Linked DNA regions of Caenorhabditis elegans. The protein of the gene in region 2 interacts with the protein of the main gene of each other region in a pairwise test. Each region holds a gene or a part of one and is shown on either strand. Other genes may lie near its edges.

The links. Proteins that work in one complex are often made in the same cells at the same time.
Region 1: the proteins of hrpc-1 (region 2) and taf-12 interact in a two-hybrid assay, tested with the Caenorhabditis elegans proteins (one large-scale study listed by BioGRID).

The regions. Positions count from the first base shown.
Region 1 is NC_003281.10:11,862,865-11,871,659, reverse strand, and holds the start of taf-12 (Transcription initiation factor TFIID subunit 12), read left to right. Parts: upstream 1-2,378; 5' UTR 2,379-2,385; coding exon 2,386-2,481; intron 2,482-2,804; coding exon 2,805-2,937; intron 2,938-5,453; coding exon 5,454-5,635; intron 5,636-5,939; coding exon 5,940-6,035; intron 6,036-6,527; coding exon 6,528-6,713; intron 6,714-8,057; coding exon 8,058-8,261; intron 8,262-8,795. Other genes in the region: Y56A3A.6 (WH2 domain-containing protein), read left to right, coding at 1-256. UniProt on the Caenorhabditis elegans protein: Part of the general transcription factor complex TFIID. Plays a role in recruiting taf-4 to the nucleus and thereby activating transcription initiation by RNA polymerase II, as part of the TFIID complex.
Region 2 is NC_003279.8:6,923,725-6,930,807, forward strand, and holds hrpc-1 (RRM domain-containing protein), read left to right. Parts: upstream 1-2,532; 5' UTR 2,533-2,584; coding exon 2,585-2,594; intron 2,595-2,840; coding exon 2,841-3,006; intron 3,007-3,376; coding exon 3,377-3,445; intron 3,446-3,725; coding exon 3,726-3,831; intron 3,832-3,937; coding exon 3,938-4,034; intron 4,035-4,271; coding exon 4,272-4,407; intron 4,408-4,758; coding exon 4,759-4,868; intron 4,869-5,074; coding exon 5,075-5,179; intron 5,180-5,313; coding exon 5,314-5,435; intron 5,436-5,617; coding exon 5,618-5,800; 3' UTR 5,801-5,941; downstream 5,942-7,083. Other genes in the region: C48B6.9 (uncharacterized protein), read right to left, coding at 696-886, 985-1,070, 1,126-1,409, 1,457-1,618, 1,667-1,735.

The DNA.
Region 1 (8,795 bases), on a different chromosome or scaffold from region 2:
GGATGTGCTGAAAGGTCCGAAGCTTCGGAAAGTCGGCATGCCTGCTGAAAAATCTGGAATCTCCCTAGGAAAAGTTGTCGAATCAGTGGAAGCATCCGGCAATCGTCCATCCTCAACTCCTCCTCCGCCACCTCCTCCACCACCTCTGGCAGCTGCTCCTCCACAGCCCAAGAATCCCGACCTAAGGGACTCGTTGATGAATGAAATTCGAGAAGCTGGAAGGCTACGGGCCGCCCGTGTTGCTCAATCTGCTTAATTTATACGCTTTTTTTTGTTTGAAGAAGAAAAATGAACTGAAACTGGTTTTAATCTTATTTTCGTCGTTGTCAACATCTAGCCCATTTAATCTTGAATATTTTCTGTGATTTGTGAAGAAAAACACGTTGAATAAATTATTTTACAGCTGAATATGTGCTTTTTTAATTTCAGATTTGATGGCCTAATTGGGAAATTCTAGGCCACCAGCCATTGCCGATGAACATATTACAAATTTCAAAAAATTATTTTCTTCAAAACCAAACACCCAAATTTTTTTTAACTACCAATCTACTAACCGATTATACTAACCGATGTCTGAATAATAATATAAGCACAAAAAATTAATACCCACCGTTCAAAATCTGACTGAAATTCCAGTTTTAGTTTAGCTCCCAATTAATATGTATTCCAATTTTCAAAAAAATTATTTTATTCAAAACCAATCACACAAATTTTTTAAAACTTCACCAATATACTAATTGATCTTTGAATAATAATATAAACACAAAAAATTAATACCCACCGTTCGAAATTTGTCTGAAATTTCAGTTTTAGTTTAGCTGAAAATGAATAAAAATTCAAATTTTCAAAAAATTATTTTCTTCGAAACCAAACACCCAAATTTTTTTCAAACTTTACCAATTTACTTACTGATGTCTGAATAATAATATAAACACAAAAAATTATTACCCACCGTTCAAAATTCGACTAAAATTCAAGTTTTTCTTTAGCTGAAATTTAGTAAAAACTCAATTTTCAAAAAAACATTATTTTAAAACCAAACACCCAAATTTTTTTTTAACTTTACGAATATACTCGATTATGACCGAACAAAATTTTACGCTAATATCCAGTTTTACTTTGACTTTTCAAAACCCTCATGCGCCTTTAAACCTCGGTGTACTGTAATAACTCGATATTTTAATTGTTTTTATTGCCTTTTCCTCAACCAATGTTAGATAAAATATGTTTTTCCATTTCCAGTGATCACATGGTACAGTTATATTCAATTAAAGAAAACAATCGCGGCGAGACCCAAAAATGTACTTCCCAATTCGATCCCAATTCTTTCGCAAAATAATGACAGAGTGGACAACAAAATGTGACATGTTTGTTTTTATAAGACGTCCGCCGTCGTCTTTTTTCTGTTTACTTGCACTTCCTCGCAACGGCGTGGCCTAGGTTTTCCCACGGCCACGCTCATTTAGGTTCTAATAAACCACACTAGTGAGAGAGAGAGAGAGATAGTTGCGAGAAGAGACGGAAAAGAGCTAGAGAGGTCTCTCGTTCTCTTCATTGGCCTCAATTTCTCGCCACCACCCCCTACGTCTCTATTCCCCCAATGTCCTACATTTTTCGGATCGTTTTTCCCTTATATCAGAATCTGCCTAATTTTACGAGGTTTCGGCGCATAATATTATGTGCAATTCGAGAATAAAACTTTGAATATTTATTAGTTTAGGTCTTTTTCATTGATTTTTTCCAATAAATTCAATTTGATTTTAAATTGCTTGAAAATCGCCACCGTATCACTTTAAAGGCGCATTGCTGTTGTTTAACTTTGGGTCTCACAGCGAACCGAGTTTCAGTCATTAATTTTGATTTTTCCTTGGTTTTTTTTAAAAGAAAATTCTCAAAGTTAAAATTTTCACTCGGTTTTAAAATTAATAATAGCTAGCAACTATAATTCTGGAAAAAACATAAATTCACTTTAAATTGCCTAAAAATACAACCGTATAAGTTTAAAGGCGCATTGCTATTTTTAAGTTTGGGTCTCACAGCGAACCGAGTTTCAGTTATTAATTTTGACTTTTCCTCGGTTTTTTAAACTTTATTTGAAGAAATTCTTCAAAATTAAAATTTTTCTCGTAATATTTAATCAAAAATAATAATTAGCAACTAAAAATTCGGAAAAAAATAGAAATTGCTTGAAAAGTTTCACCGTATAACTTTAAAGGCGCAATGCTTTTGTTTAACATTGGGTCTCACAACGACCGAGGTACTGTGGAAAATTTATCGAATTTAACGAATTTATTCATTTTTATGAATATATTTCCATTTTCCTCGGTTTTCCGAAAGATTTTAAGCTTTAAAATCATCAAAAAAAAACTTAGTTGCAGATAAAAAATGAAAATGGAAGAATTCTCACCTCCAACTTCACCGAATAATCACGTAATCGTGCAGGCGAACCCGCAAATCGCCGCCGCTCTCTCCACGAATTCTGTAAGCGATTTGTGTGTCCGCTCTCTAATTATTGCTTTCTGTCCCAACAATGACTCACCGGCCAGCCGACAAAAAAAAAACAAAAAAAACGAATAAAAATAATAAAAAATCGGAGCGCCTCTCCGTTTTTTTTCCCCCGTAAACGTCCAAAGTGTATGTGTATTATTCTCATATCGATTGTGCTTCTCTTCTTCCCCCGACAAAACCATTTCCATCACAAAAGCTTCTCGTCGTCCTCTGTCCATATATATATATATATTTACTAATACTAAAAAATGTGGCCCTACCATCATGGATATCACGTCTATCACCCACATTTTCAGCCAATGCAGCAGGGAATTCCGCCACAAGGCCATCAGAATCCCAACGAACAGCAGCAGCAGCAGCAGTTTGTGGGCCAACCGCCGATGGGTGGAATGGGCGGCCCGATGAGAATGCAGATGCCACAGCAGCAAAGTATGAAGAAAAAACTCCTAAAAAATGCCTCAAATTCAGAAATAATTCCGTGAAAAATGAAAAAAAAATTGCTCAAAATTTAGCTGAAATCTCCAATTTTGTCCTATTCCGCCTATTTTAGTCGGCTATTTTACGTTTTTTCCGAAGAAAAAAGAAAAAAATCGCGAAAAAGTGAAAAAGTTAACTCGAAAAACATGATTTTTCGAATTACCTCCAAAATGAGAAATGCCTGAGCAATCAGCGATTCGCTCCGCCCACTTTTCGACCAATCAGGTAGATTGGGCGGAGTTTGAAGATGCTGATTGGTAGGAAAATACTCGAAAATTGGTAAATTAAATATTTAAAAAAAGCGATTTTTAAAATGGAATTCTTTGAATTTTTTAAAAGCGATATCTACATTTACACAAAGCCGCCTTAAATTACACCTAAATTAACGAAAAACGTGAAATAAATATGCAAATTAGGATGAAAATTGAATAAAAATCAATTTCTAGCCACCCTGGCACCGAAAAAATGGAGATTTTCGCTAGAATTAGGCGATTTTCGGAATGTCTGGTAGATCATGGTGTGATCTACAAAAAATGCGGGAATTTTTGGCCCAAAAAAATGTGACGTCAGCATGTTCTTAACCATGCAAAATCAGTTGAGAACTCTGCCGCATTTTTTGTAGATCAACGTAGATCAAGCCGAAATGAGACACTCTGACACAATGTGTGGTTAGGAAATTCGGAAATTCAGCAAAATTGGAACAGCGACCAATCAGCGACCGGCTCCGCCCACTTTTGGACTAATCAGACGGAGTGGGCGGAGTTTGTAATCGCGATTTTCTCCGTTTTTTTTTTTGTGGTTTTTCTGAATTTTAATGTATTTTTGGATATTTTTAAAGAGAGTGTAGTTGAATTTTTTTTTTATTGCTGTATTAGACTCAAAATTGTCTGAAAACATCGAATTTAATAATGAAACTTCTTGAAAACTTTTCAGGAAAAAGTTATGATGGCTCAAAAAATGGCCTAAAATTAGTGCATTTCTTGCATTTTCAACTTGATTTAGGTATTTAAAAATCAATGGACGGCGAGATTTTTAAATTTTTTTAACGATTTTTTTCCGTTTTTTTTTGTGGTTTTTCTGAATTTGAAACTATTTTTTGGATATTTTTAAAGGTGGTGTAGTCGAATGTTTTTATTTGCTTTATTAGACTCAAAATTGTCTGAAAACACCGAATTTCATAGTGAAACTTTTTGAAAACTTCTCAAAAAATAAGTTATGACGGCTCAAAAAATGACCTAAAATTAGTTAAAGTTTGAAATTTGACCAACTTATCAATGTCGCAGCGGCTGGAAACATTTTTTTTTGAAATCACCGTCAAATTTTGAGTATATAAGTTAATTACCTTGTGTTTTAAATTTGATTAAGGTATTTAAAAATCGATGGACGACGAGATTTTTAAATTTTTTAAAACCAAATCTCGCCGTCCATCGACTTTAAAATACTTAAATGAAGTTGAAAACGCAAGATAATTAAATTGTATACTTAAAATTTGACGGTGATTTCGAAAAATTGTTTCCAGACGCTTGGCTAGTCGGTAAAATTTCAAATTTTAACTAATTTTAGGTCATTTTTTGAACCGTCATAACTTATTTTTTGAGAAGTTTTCAAACAGTTTCACTATGAAATTCGGTGTTTTCAGACAATTTTGAGTCTAATAAAGCAAATAAAAACATTCGACTACACCACCTTTAAAAATATCCAAAAAAAATAGTTTCAAATTCAGAAAAACCACAAAAAAAACGGAAAAAAAATCGTGATTTTCAAATTTTACTAAAATTAGCTCTCCGCCCACTCCGTCTGATTGGTCCAAAAGTGGGCGGAGCCGGTCGCTGATTGGTCGCTGTTTTAATTTTGCTGAATTTTCAAATTTCCTAACCACACATTGTGTCAGAGTGTCTCATTTCGGCTTGATCTACGTTGATCTACAAAAAATGCGGCAGAGTTCTCAACTGATTTTGCATGGTTAAGAACGTGCTGACGTCACATTTTTTGGGCCAAAAATTCCCGCATTTTTTGCAGATCACACCATGATCTACCAGACATTCCGAAAATCGCCTAAAATCTCCATTTTTTCGGTGCCAGGGTGGCTAGAAATTGATTTTTATTCAATTTTCATCCTAATTTGCATATTTATTTCACGTTTTTCGTTAATTTAGGTGTAATTTAAGGCGGCTTTGGGTAAATGTAGATATCGCTTTTAAAAAATTCAAAGAATTCCATTTTAAAAATCGCTTTTTTAAAATATTTAATTTACCAATTTTCGAGTATTTTCCTACCAATCAGCATCTTCAAACCCCGCCCACTCCGTCTGATTGGTCCAGAAGTGGGCGGAGCGGTACGCTGATTGGACGATGTTCCAATTATGCTGAATTTCCGAAAATCGCCTAATTCTAGCGAAAATCTTCATATTTTCGGTGACTACACCGTCTCTTTAATAAGGCTTCTCATGAAATAATTCGTAATTTTAGTCCGCCAAATGCCATACCCATCACCACAAATGCGTGCGGGCCCTCCACCACCACAGCAGCAGCAGCAGCAACACTTTCAACAAATGGGTATTCCACAACAGCAGCAGCCCCAACAATTCACACCGAATGGGCAATCAATGCAAATGCAACAGAGACCAATGCAGATGGGCATGGCTCAAGGGGTACGGGGGCGGTTATTATCTGGGAAATTTGAATTTAAAAAAAGCTTCCGTTTGAGACCCAAGAAAAACCTTTTTTCGGGAATTTGGGTCCACGGGATCAAAAATCTCTGAAAAATTGTTCTAAAAAATGTTACAAAACAATTTCTGCAGTGGAGCAGCGGAGCAGCGGTGAAAATTTCAAGGCTTGTATAATTTCTTCAAAAAAAAAATTTTTTTTTCGCATATTTTGGGCATTTTTAAGACTTTTTCTGCAGTTATTTTTGGAAATCCGCTTAAAAATCCTCTAATTTTAAAATGTTTCCAGCCAGGACCATCTGGACATTTAATGGGAATGGTCGGAGGGCCTCCGCCACAACATATGATGCAGCAGCAAGGAGGTGGTGGACCACCACAATTTGTGGTGAGTTTCCGGCAAAATCGGCAAATTGCCGGAATTGAAATTTCCGGCAAATCGGCAAATTGCCGGAATTGAAATTTCCGGCAAAACCGGTAAATTGCCGGAATTAAAATTTCCGGCAAATCGGCAAATTTCCGGAATTGAAATTTCCGACAAAATCGGCAAATTGCCGGAATTGAAATTTCCGACAAAATCGACAATTTGCTGAAATTAAAATTTCCGGCAAATCGGCAAATTGCCGGAATTGAAATTTCCGACAAAATCGGCAAAATGTCGGAATTCAATTTTCCCGCAAATTGCCGGAATTAAAATTTCCGGCATATCGGCAAATTGCCGGAACTAAAAAGGCAACGTTTACCGATCGAGCTCGTAAAAAACCGGCAAATTCGCCAAATTTGTCGTGGCGTAATATTTTTTGGAGCTCAAAAAGAGCCCGATTTAATGGAAAAACTATAAAAACCATTAGTTTTGGGCAAAATTTTTCAAAATTTCCAGCCAAACTCGTCTCCAATGCCGCTGCCTCCTCAACAAATTATGCAAGTACAACATCAGCAGCAACATCAGCAGCCACCACCATCTCAACAAATTCAACAGCCTCCAATTCCACAGCCACAACAGCAACAGGCACCGCCACCTCAAATGATACCGGCCGCTGTTCCGTATGGAAGTATTATGGAAAAGGTGCAACAAAAAACCGGCAAAAATACTTAGAAATTTCGGCAAAAAAACCGGCAAAAATACTTGAAAATTTCGGCAAAAATACTTGGAAATTTAGGCAAAAAAACCGGCAAAAATACTTGGAAATTTCGGCAAAAAAACCGGCAAAAATACTTGGAAATTTAGGCAAAAAAACCGGCAAAAATACTTGGAAATTTCGGCAAAAAAACCGGCAAAAATACTTGGAAATTTCGGCAAAAAAACCGGCAAAAATACTTGGAAATTTAGGCAAAAAAACCGGCAAAAATACTTGGAAATTTCGGCAAAAAAACCGGCAAAAATACTTGGAAATTCCGGCAAAAAAATCGGCAAAAATACTTGGAAATTTCGGCAAAAAAGCCGGCAAAAATACTTGGAAATTTAGGCAAAAAAACCGGCAAAAATACTTGGAAATTTCGGCAAAAAAACCGGCAAAAATACTTGGAAAATTGATTTTTATTTAATTTTGAAATTTTTTCAGAAAAAATCGAATAAAGCTCAGATTTTCCGATTTTTTTTCAAAGAAAATCGAAAAAAATTCAGGTTTTTTCAGGAAAATTTAAAAAATTTTCTGATTTTTTAGTTTTTTTTTCAATTACAAATTTCTCTAGCAAAAATTCGCAAAAAAAAAATTTTTTGGATTGTCTTTTCATAGAAAATGAGCAAATTTCAGATTTTTCGGTCTTTTTTTTCAGAGAAAATAGGAAAAAAAATGCACAAAGAATTCACGGAAGGGGACGAAAAAGCTATAGATTTATCAAAAAATATGCTGATTTTTATTGAAAAAAGTGATTTTTTTTTTCTATAAAGTATTGAAAAATGGCCGGAATTTATTGAAAATTCGATTTTTTTTAAACGAAAAACGAAAATTTCCAATTTTTCAATACAATTTTTAAATTTTTTTTTGAACTTTGAAAAAAATTCGAACTTCTGCATACACTAGTTTTTGCTTTGCTCCTGAAAAAATAATGAAATTAAAAATGGAATTTTTTGTAAATTTGCTATTAAAAATTCGATTTTTAAATTTTCACTGAAAAAAATGCCTAAATTTTTGGTAATTTTTCTTGTAAAAATTCTTGTAAAATTAAGAGTTTTTGTTTAATTTTCTAATTAAAAAATTTTAAATTTTCGATTTTCAAGATTTTCAAACAAAAAAATCGAAAATTATAACAATTAATAAAAAAAAAAAAAAAAATAGCCTAAAATTTTCGTAGTTTTTTTTTTTCAAAAACTCTATAAAATTTTTTTTTCCGATTTTTTGATTTTCACTGAAAAAACCGAAAATTCTTATTTTAAAAAATCTTCTTTTTTTTAAAATTTTTTTTTCAGTCAAAACTGGATGATTTGATGCAACAAATCAGCTCAACAACAGTACTCGAAGAAAATGTAAAAGATGTTCTTGTGGAGTACGCCGACGATTTTGTCAGTTCTCTAATCGATAAAGCATGCAAAATGATCAAGAATCGGGAGGTGAAGAAAATTGAATCACGGGATATCGAATTTATTCTCAAGAATGTCTATAATATGCCAGTGGTACGGCGTTTTTATTACTGATTTTTATGTTTTTTTTTGATATTTAAAATGGTCTAGAAAATACGGATTTCGTGAAAAAAAAATTAGAAAAAAACGCCTAGTTTTAGCTAAAATCTCTAATTTTTGACTATTTTTTTGGAAAAAAAATCTTCTTTTTTTTGTTGATAAAAATTTTCATCACAAAATAGCTTTAAAAAACCGGATTTCGTAAAAAAAAAACGCTTAATTTTAGCTGAAATATCTACTTTTTTACCGTTTTTCGATTCTCCAGTATTAAAAATTTTACCTGAAAAATACAGAAAATCGGGTTTTTTTTTCGATTTTTAGTGTTTTTCAGAGAAAAAATGTCTAGAAAATATTGAAATATTCATTAGAAATTTTTTTTTCTCCGAAAAACCTTGTAAAATCGGAAAAAGAAGAAAAAAAAAGTGTTAGGATATATGGATTTATCAAAAATATGCAAAAAAATGTGCAAAAATGTGCAATAACTGTGCAAAAATGTGCAATAAATATGCAAAAAAATGTGCAAAAAAT
Region 2 (7,083 bases):
AAGAACACAAAAAATTGAGTATACTGTAGTTTTCAGTATTTTTCTCTACAAAAAGCTGTTTTTAAATGATTTAACTTGCGAAATGCCAAATAAAAATAGGAAATTCTCATTGTACAATATTAAATCTATCAGAAACTGATAAAATTTGTACGGAATGTACGAATAAAAATGGGCGACGAACAAATGCAAACGTGTTTCTTCTTTGGAAAAAATGCCATGCTGGAAGAACACGCAGCGCCACCGCGACGCGTCCAAAGGCATTCAGAACACAATTTTGAAAACGTTTTTTTCTCTTGCAAATCTTTGTTTTTTTTTACTCTTCTGAAAATATACTTTCTCACTTGCTTCTCAAACTTTTTTACTAAAATTAAAAAAAAACAATATTTATAAATATTGCAAAACACAAAATAGATATCTCTTATGTATGTTACTACTATTTATCCGCATCTTGATTTATGTCTGCTCCGTCATTTTTGTTCTGTTTTCTTTTAGTTTTCCCTCGAATTCATGAACATAAGCCTTGTATTAGTAATGAACTAAAAAAGATCCATTAATCAGGATTTCAATAAGAATTCATTATTAGTCTTATGTGTATGAAATAAATCAGATCATTGGTGTCAATTTTGAGAAACTTTGCGTGATGAAAAAGCTCAATATAGAAGTGGGTAGAATAACAAGCTATAAAAATAATACATTCAGACCAGTGTGCTTAGGTAATTGTAACAATCCTCGCGGTAGACGTGCCCACAAGAATGATTTGCCCAGAAATAGAGGGTTTTCACGGCGAAGCAAGTGGCAAGAAAGACGGCGGAAGATCCTAAAGTAATCGATACACATTTTGAGGCCAAACTTCGCGATGGGTCAATTGAGACTGTGAGCATTAGCACTGAAAATATTAGAATTGCAGAGTTGTTTCTTGTATTCTAGCGAATTCATTCTTTTGAATTTTTATAATCGCGTATGAATAGTATTTAAGAAACTCACCGATCACGAAGACTATTATTGATGCGAACCAAAACGAGAATGCCACAATTCTTAAAAAGCTGGTTGATTTGATGTATCGAAGTGCCCTGTAATGTTAAAATGTTCAAGCTATTTAATGTGAAACTTTTGAAAAGCACTAACACATCAATATCATCCGGTTGTTGTGTCTGTTTTACTATCTTCATCAGGAATAGTAATTGAAGAGCAGACACAAAGAATGCCAGAATCGACAGAATCACGATTGCCACGTCGAATGAGGCGATGACATCCCGAATGACATCGATTACTCCTCGATATGCCGATGCCGGTGATTTTGCGGTGCGAAGAAATCGTTCGGCATTTGAAAAGTGGAATTGTAGAGCAACAACGGTGAATAATGCCGAGCAAACTGACATGAAGAGGAGGAGAAGCATATTCCAGTGAACCTAAACACAATTTCATGCATAGAAAGATTGAAAAAAACTTTTCTTACCGTTTTTCGGTCCATTACTCGGTTTTCGCTGTTCAAATCGAGAACTGATGGGTGACTATCGCTAACTTGTCCCCCAGCTCCGCTATATGTTCCAGTAGTTCCAATTCCCTTCCCACCACCACATGATACTGAATATCTCATCGATATTGGCGAGTTTTGAGCCTAAAAATAAATTATAAAGTATGAGAAAAATTCCGATTTAAAAATTACCATAAGGGATTCGTGATTTAATGTGGTCGGTATGTGGAACCCACGTCTGGGTGTTGAAGATGTAACCATTTCTAAAAAAACAAGTATTGTGGCCGGAAAAAAAGCAATCTAACTTTTTTTGCCAAGCTCGAGATAACGACAAAAAACGTTTCTTTTTAACAACGAAAAGTTTTTTATTACAAAGGCACACAGAGGGAGCAATCAGTGTTCGCCGAATGCACCAATCGGACCACTGAAGAATGAGCCGCATAAGTTTTTGTGTAAGGATGCGAACGGGGAGAGATTCTCGAAAGAGTCTATCACCAGGTGGTGGCATTTGAAAAAGATACAAGAAGAGATCATAATGAGATGCAATATGCCGAAACGCTAGGAAAGAAATACCAATTTTTTAAAGATTAATTTGGTTTTTTCGAGGAAACAAGAAAAATTGGCGAATAAAAACTGAAATTCGAAATGTCGTGATATTCAGTGCCTCTAGTGCATGCAGAATCAAAAATTTTAAACAATTTTGTTGTACATTGTACAATTTTTGTTTCAGCCCACAAAATAAATTTAAAAATAGAAATACCTTTTCAATATTGGTTCTGAAAATTTTATTTACACTTATTTTTAAAAACCCCTCAAGGTGGGATTCTGTTTTAGGAAAAAAACAAAAAATTTACTGCATTAGGAATGAACATACCCTGTCTGCGCATTATGATTGATTTTCTCTTCCCATTATTCTCATTTTCAAACCATTGTCACCTCTTCCCACTCTGAACCACTCATGCGATCGATAATCTTTTCCAATTATGTTATGTTCGTGTTTTAACCGTTATGTTCAAACTTTGCTCAATTTTCTCAATTATTTAAATTTTTAGTGAAGATTTTCAGTGATAAACGTCATTCATCCCGAACACTTCAGAGAATCAATGGAAAATGAGTGCTGGTTAGTGTTTTTAATGCAAAATGAGAAATAAACTAGAGAATAAGTAGGCAACTTCGGCAGCGGAATTGGAGTTGTTTAGAAATTTTTGGGAAAAGCGATACCGATGTAATATGATATTCTATTAAATAACTGCCAGATAGTCGAGTGATGTTAAAATTTGATTTGATTAATAATTAATTCTAGAATAGAATATCAGAAATTACATTGTCCTTTTAAAAATCTTGAAAAACCAATTAAAACATTCAGAATACGGTCAGTACGGATACTATGGAGGTGCTGGAGGTGCCCAGACAACAACAACTCCTGCTGCCGCATTGGCTGCATCAATACCCGCAACTTCAGTTTACGGAGAGCAAAGACCAACATTCTCAGAAGATGGAACTGGTGCTCCATACAGCACTATTCTTAATCTGTTAGTTTTCTTTTTAATACATTAAAATTCGTTTCAAAACTGTCTTGTTTAAAATTAATTGGATTAGCCGAATCACGTTAAGTAAACTTACTTAAGATTTAAGAAGAACTAAATGAGATGCAAGACCGGGACCGAAAAACAAAAATTTGAAATTTGTAAAAAAACACCGAATTTCGATTTATTTGGAACTTTTTAGAAAAAAATTATTGAAAACCATGAAAAACCACATTTTGCTAAAGCATATTTGTAAAATATGAAAATTGTTTGAAGTACGTAAAGGGTTTTTTGGTTTAAAAAAAACCAAAAAATAGATTTTTCGTTAAAAACAAAAAAAAATCAGCTTCGTCAGCGTAATCCTAAAAACTTTCAGAGTTGGAAGCGCAGCGGTAAACAGCGATATCAGTTATGATACATCATCTAAGGATCCTCATATGATCAGGTACGAAAATAAATGTTTTGAACGTAAATTTGATAAATGAAATAAGAAAATGAGAGAAAAGAACGGAAAAAATGCAAGAAAGGTCGTGGGAAAGTAAACATTTTTGAAGCAAAAGACCGACACAAAGTGACCATGAAAGAGTAAAGAGAATAGAGAGAAAATGGGGATTTATTCATTTTCCAGAGTAAACATAACTGCACACAAAGTTAAAGAATATGTTATATAAATTATCGAACGAAAAATCGTGTATCGTTTTAGTTTTTATAATGATTTTTTACAGAGCTCGTGTTTTCATTGGAAACATTGCCCGTGCTATTATCACGCGTGACGATATCATCGAACTGTTCCGTCCATTTGGAAAAATAATTGCTGTTAATTATTTTGCTGTAAGTTAATTCCTGAATATTCAATAGCCACCGCAAAGTCCGAGTTTATTGATGACATAACTTTGAATTCACTTTTTTGCCGGAAAATAAATTCCTGATTTTTCAGCAACAAGGTTTCGGATTTGTTCAATTCAATGAAGCTGGTAGTGCCGACGAGTCATGCCGTTCACTCAATGGGATGTCATGGAAAGCTTGTTGTCTTGGTAAGGACCTGAATCTGAATATAATTTTTCTCCAAATGCAACCAAAATTAAAAATCGGCGAATTTTGCAGCTCAAATAGCTTCTCGTCTGAAAGCTTTTTATTTCAACTTTTTTCATAATTTCTTTTACCTTTTCTTATTTTCGGTTTTCATTAGAAACATTTTCGAAGTTACTTTTTATTCGATTTATACAGTTTTTAAAATTTGTTTATTTTTATTTATGTGTCCCCGATTTCAGATGTTCATTTGGCAATGTTGGGCTCATTGAGAAAGCCAACTGGAAACGAGGGTCGCCAAGGAAATACTATTGCTCCGGCCCCACTTCCTGTTGGGAAACCGTTGACACAACATGCTGTCGATACTTCCGCGCAAAGGTTCATCATTTTGGGTTTTTTATTCTTTTTATTTTTCATTTCGAAATAGTTTTGAGGATTATGGTTTTTAAAAGTTATAGCGAATTATTTCATTTTTTCTCCTTTCATTATATTTTCCTTCTAAAGAAAAACGTTATAATGCGATGGCGTTTCACTCTTTGTGTAAGTTGGATTGTTACTGCGGTGTGCTCAGTTTTCAAAAAAAAAAAATTCGAATTTCGAGGACAAACTCGAACTTTGGATAAATCATGAAATTTGAAAAGGGAAAGCGATTTTCGCTGAACGTTGAAACCATTTAATACGGTTCTTTCATACCCCTGGTACCAACAATATTAATTTTTGTATTTTCAGCGCCAAACGCCCCTATGAAGACGAGGAGTACGAGATCTTCAAGCAGAACAAAAGAAATAAGCAGTTTGCAAATGGAGATACAACTATCAATGAGCAGTTGGCACCGAATGGTGAGAGTTTAAAACTTAAAAAATTTATTGGGTTTGGAAACATTGGTTTCAAATTTTTCAACAAGTTTTTGATGAAATTATATATTTTTCTGTTGATTGAATCAAAAAATCAAAGTATCCGCCAAAACCAGAGAAATTAAATTCATATTTAAAATTGATATTTTTTCCAGTAAGAAACGAATAGGTTAAACATTTTTAATTTACAGAAATGTGCGACACAATGGTGTGTGGATATTGCCGTTTCGTGACAAGTGATTTTGAAGAGTTCAAGGAACATCGAATCGCTGGCTGTAATAAATACAAGGATCCAGGTGGGATTTAATTTCATACTGTTTCATTTGTTAACTTGATACTTAAAAAAACGTTGTATATAGATTGAAGTATGAAATTCAATTCTTAGTTATCTCTCTACTTGAATACTTCATCTCAATAATTTGTTTTCCAGAAGAACCACGACATCGTCTCAAATGTGCCACTTGTAGTCAGAGATTCCTCGGCGCGTGGGGACTTCTCGAACATTTAACCGATTTTCATCGTATGCTGCTCTATACTGAAGAGAAGATGACGGTATGTTTAGAGTTTTAAGAATAACTATATCATGTGAATATGTGAACGTTATGAGCAACCAAATAGTGGAGGATAAATTTTTATATTTTTGGACAGATAATTTAGAACTTTTTTCTATGAACAGTTTGTATGAAAAACATAAGAATGTGTTCATAAATCGATTTTAATTAACAAATTTTCAGCCAAATGATCTTGCTCAAATGCGTGGTGGATCCGTTTCAACGCCATCTTCGATTCCAGAAACTCCAGCTTCTGGTTCTGCGGCTCCTGCTGCTCCAAATTCAGCCAACTCCACACCATCTCACCATATCGTCGAAGGCGCGCCATTGTCCTACTCGTCGAATAATGGAACTCCCCAAATCTAAATATTTTTGCTAAATCCTGTTGAAATCATACCTGAATCTCAATTTTCCCATTTATCTATCTACTACTTTTTTGTTGTAAACGCTTATACATTTTTGTGAACTTTTATTTATCAATCTCTGAAGTTTTATTTTTGCTTTAAACAGACACTAGAAAGTTTGAATACGCAGGTAGCACAAGCTCCTATTACCTTGTTCAATTTTTTAAAAGTCATCTGATTTAATTTTTTAACAATTATTCAAGAAAGTGTTTACAATCAAACTGTGGAAAGCTAAATTTATTTAGAATCTCCTTGAAGTTTGTGCAAACCCTAAAAGAAAACGCTTTTCTTTTAAAATGAGCTTCTTACATAGTTCTTCAAGTTAACATTAATACTGTTTCGTAATTGATGCTTCGTTGTCTCTCACAGATGGGTCAATGTTTTAATGTATCATCGATGACACAGCTTTCCGTCTCTGTCACCTAAATAAAAACCATCGAATCAAAAGAACCGGTTGATGGGTTTCAATGTCCCCCATCACTACTGACTAACCACAACAAATACGATTTGATTCGTCGGTTTGAGAAATATATTTATTTTTTTCCGTTATACCCAATTCCCTTGGTTTGCTCACTAGCATAATATGAAAATATTTTTCTGACGAACCCCCAAAAAAAAAACGAAATTTAGTTACGCTTGTTTGCCACCTTCTTGATTGTCACTGCGTTTTCGCGCCAAATTCCGAATTCAAAAATTGAATTTTTCGAAACTGATAGATTTGGTCAATACTCACTTTTTGTCTAAAAGCGAAAAACAAATAAGTATTTAAATATAATCTTCAAAATATTTTCATATTTGGGGGAAATTAAAAATTGATAATTTTTTAAAAGTAAAATAAACTTAACGTTAAAAGCGACGATGAGTATTCATTAATTGACATAGAAGTATGTAATAATACTAGTTTTTATTGCTATATGGCATACGGTATACCTGCCTAGGCGAATTCCCCCACACATTTATTCAAGAATACGAGATACTCACATTTGTAGTGTCTCTGAAGCTCAATGAAACACGTATTTTAAATGTTAAGTGAAGTATTTTCAGTAGCTGTCACTCTTCTCATTTTCCTATTTCTCCCTATTTATTTGTGTCGGCTTCTCTTCGTCTCTCGCTTTTTTTTGACAACAATCGATTCTTTTTACACTGTTTTTTCTGTCGCCCATCGTTTTTTGTTTACTTTTTGTTGTGGCGAAGAGATTATGAGGTGGCTTTCGATTCTTGTTCTCGCTTTGTTTTTTTGGGTGA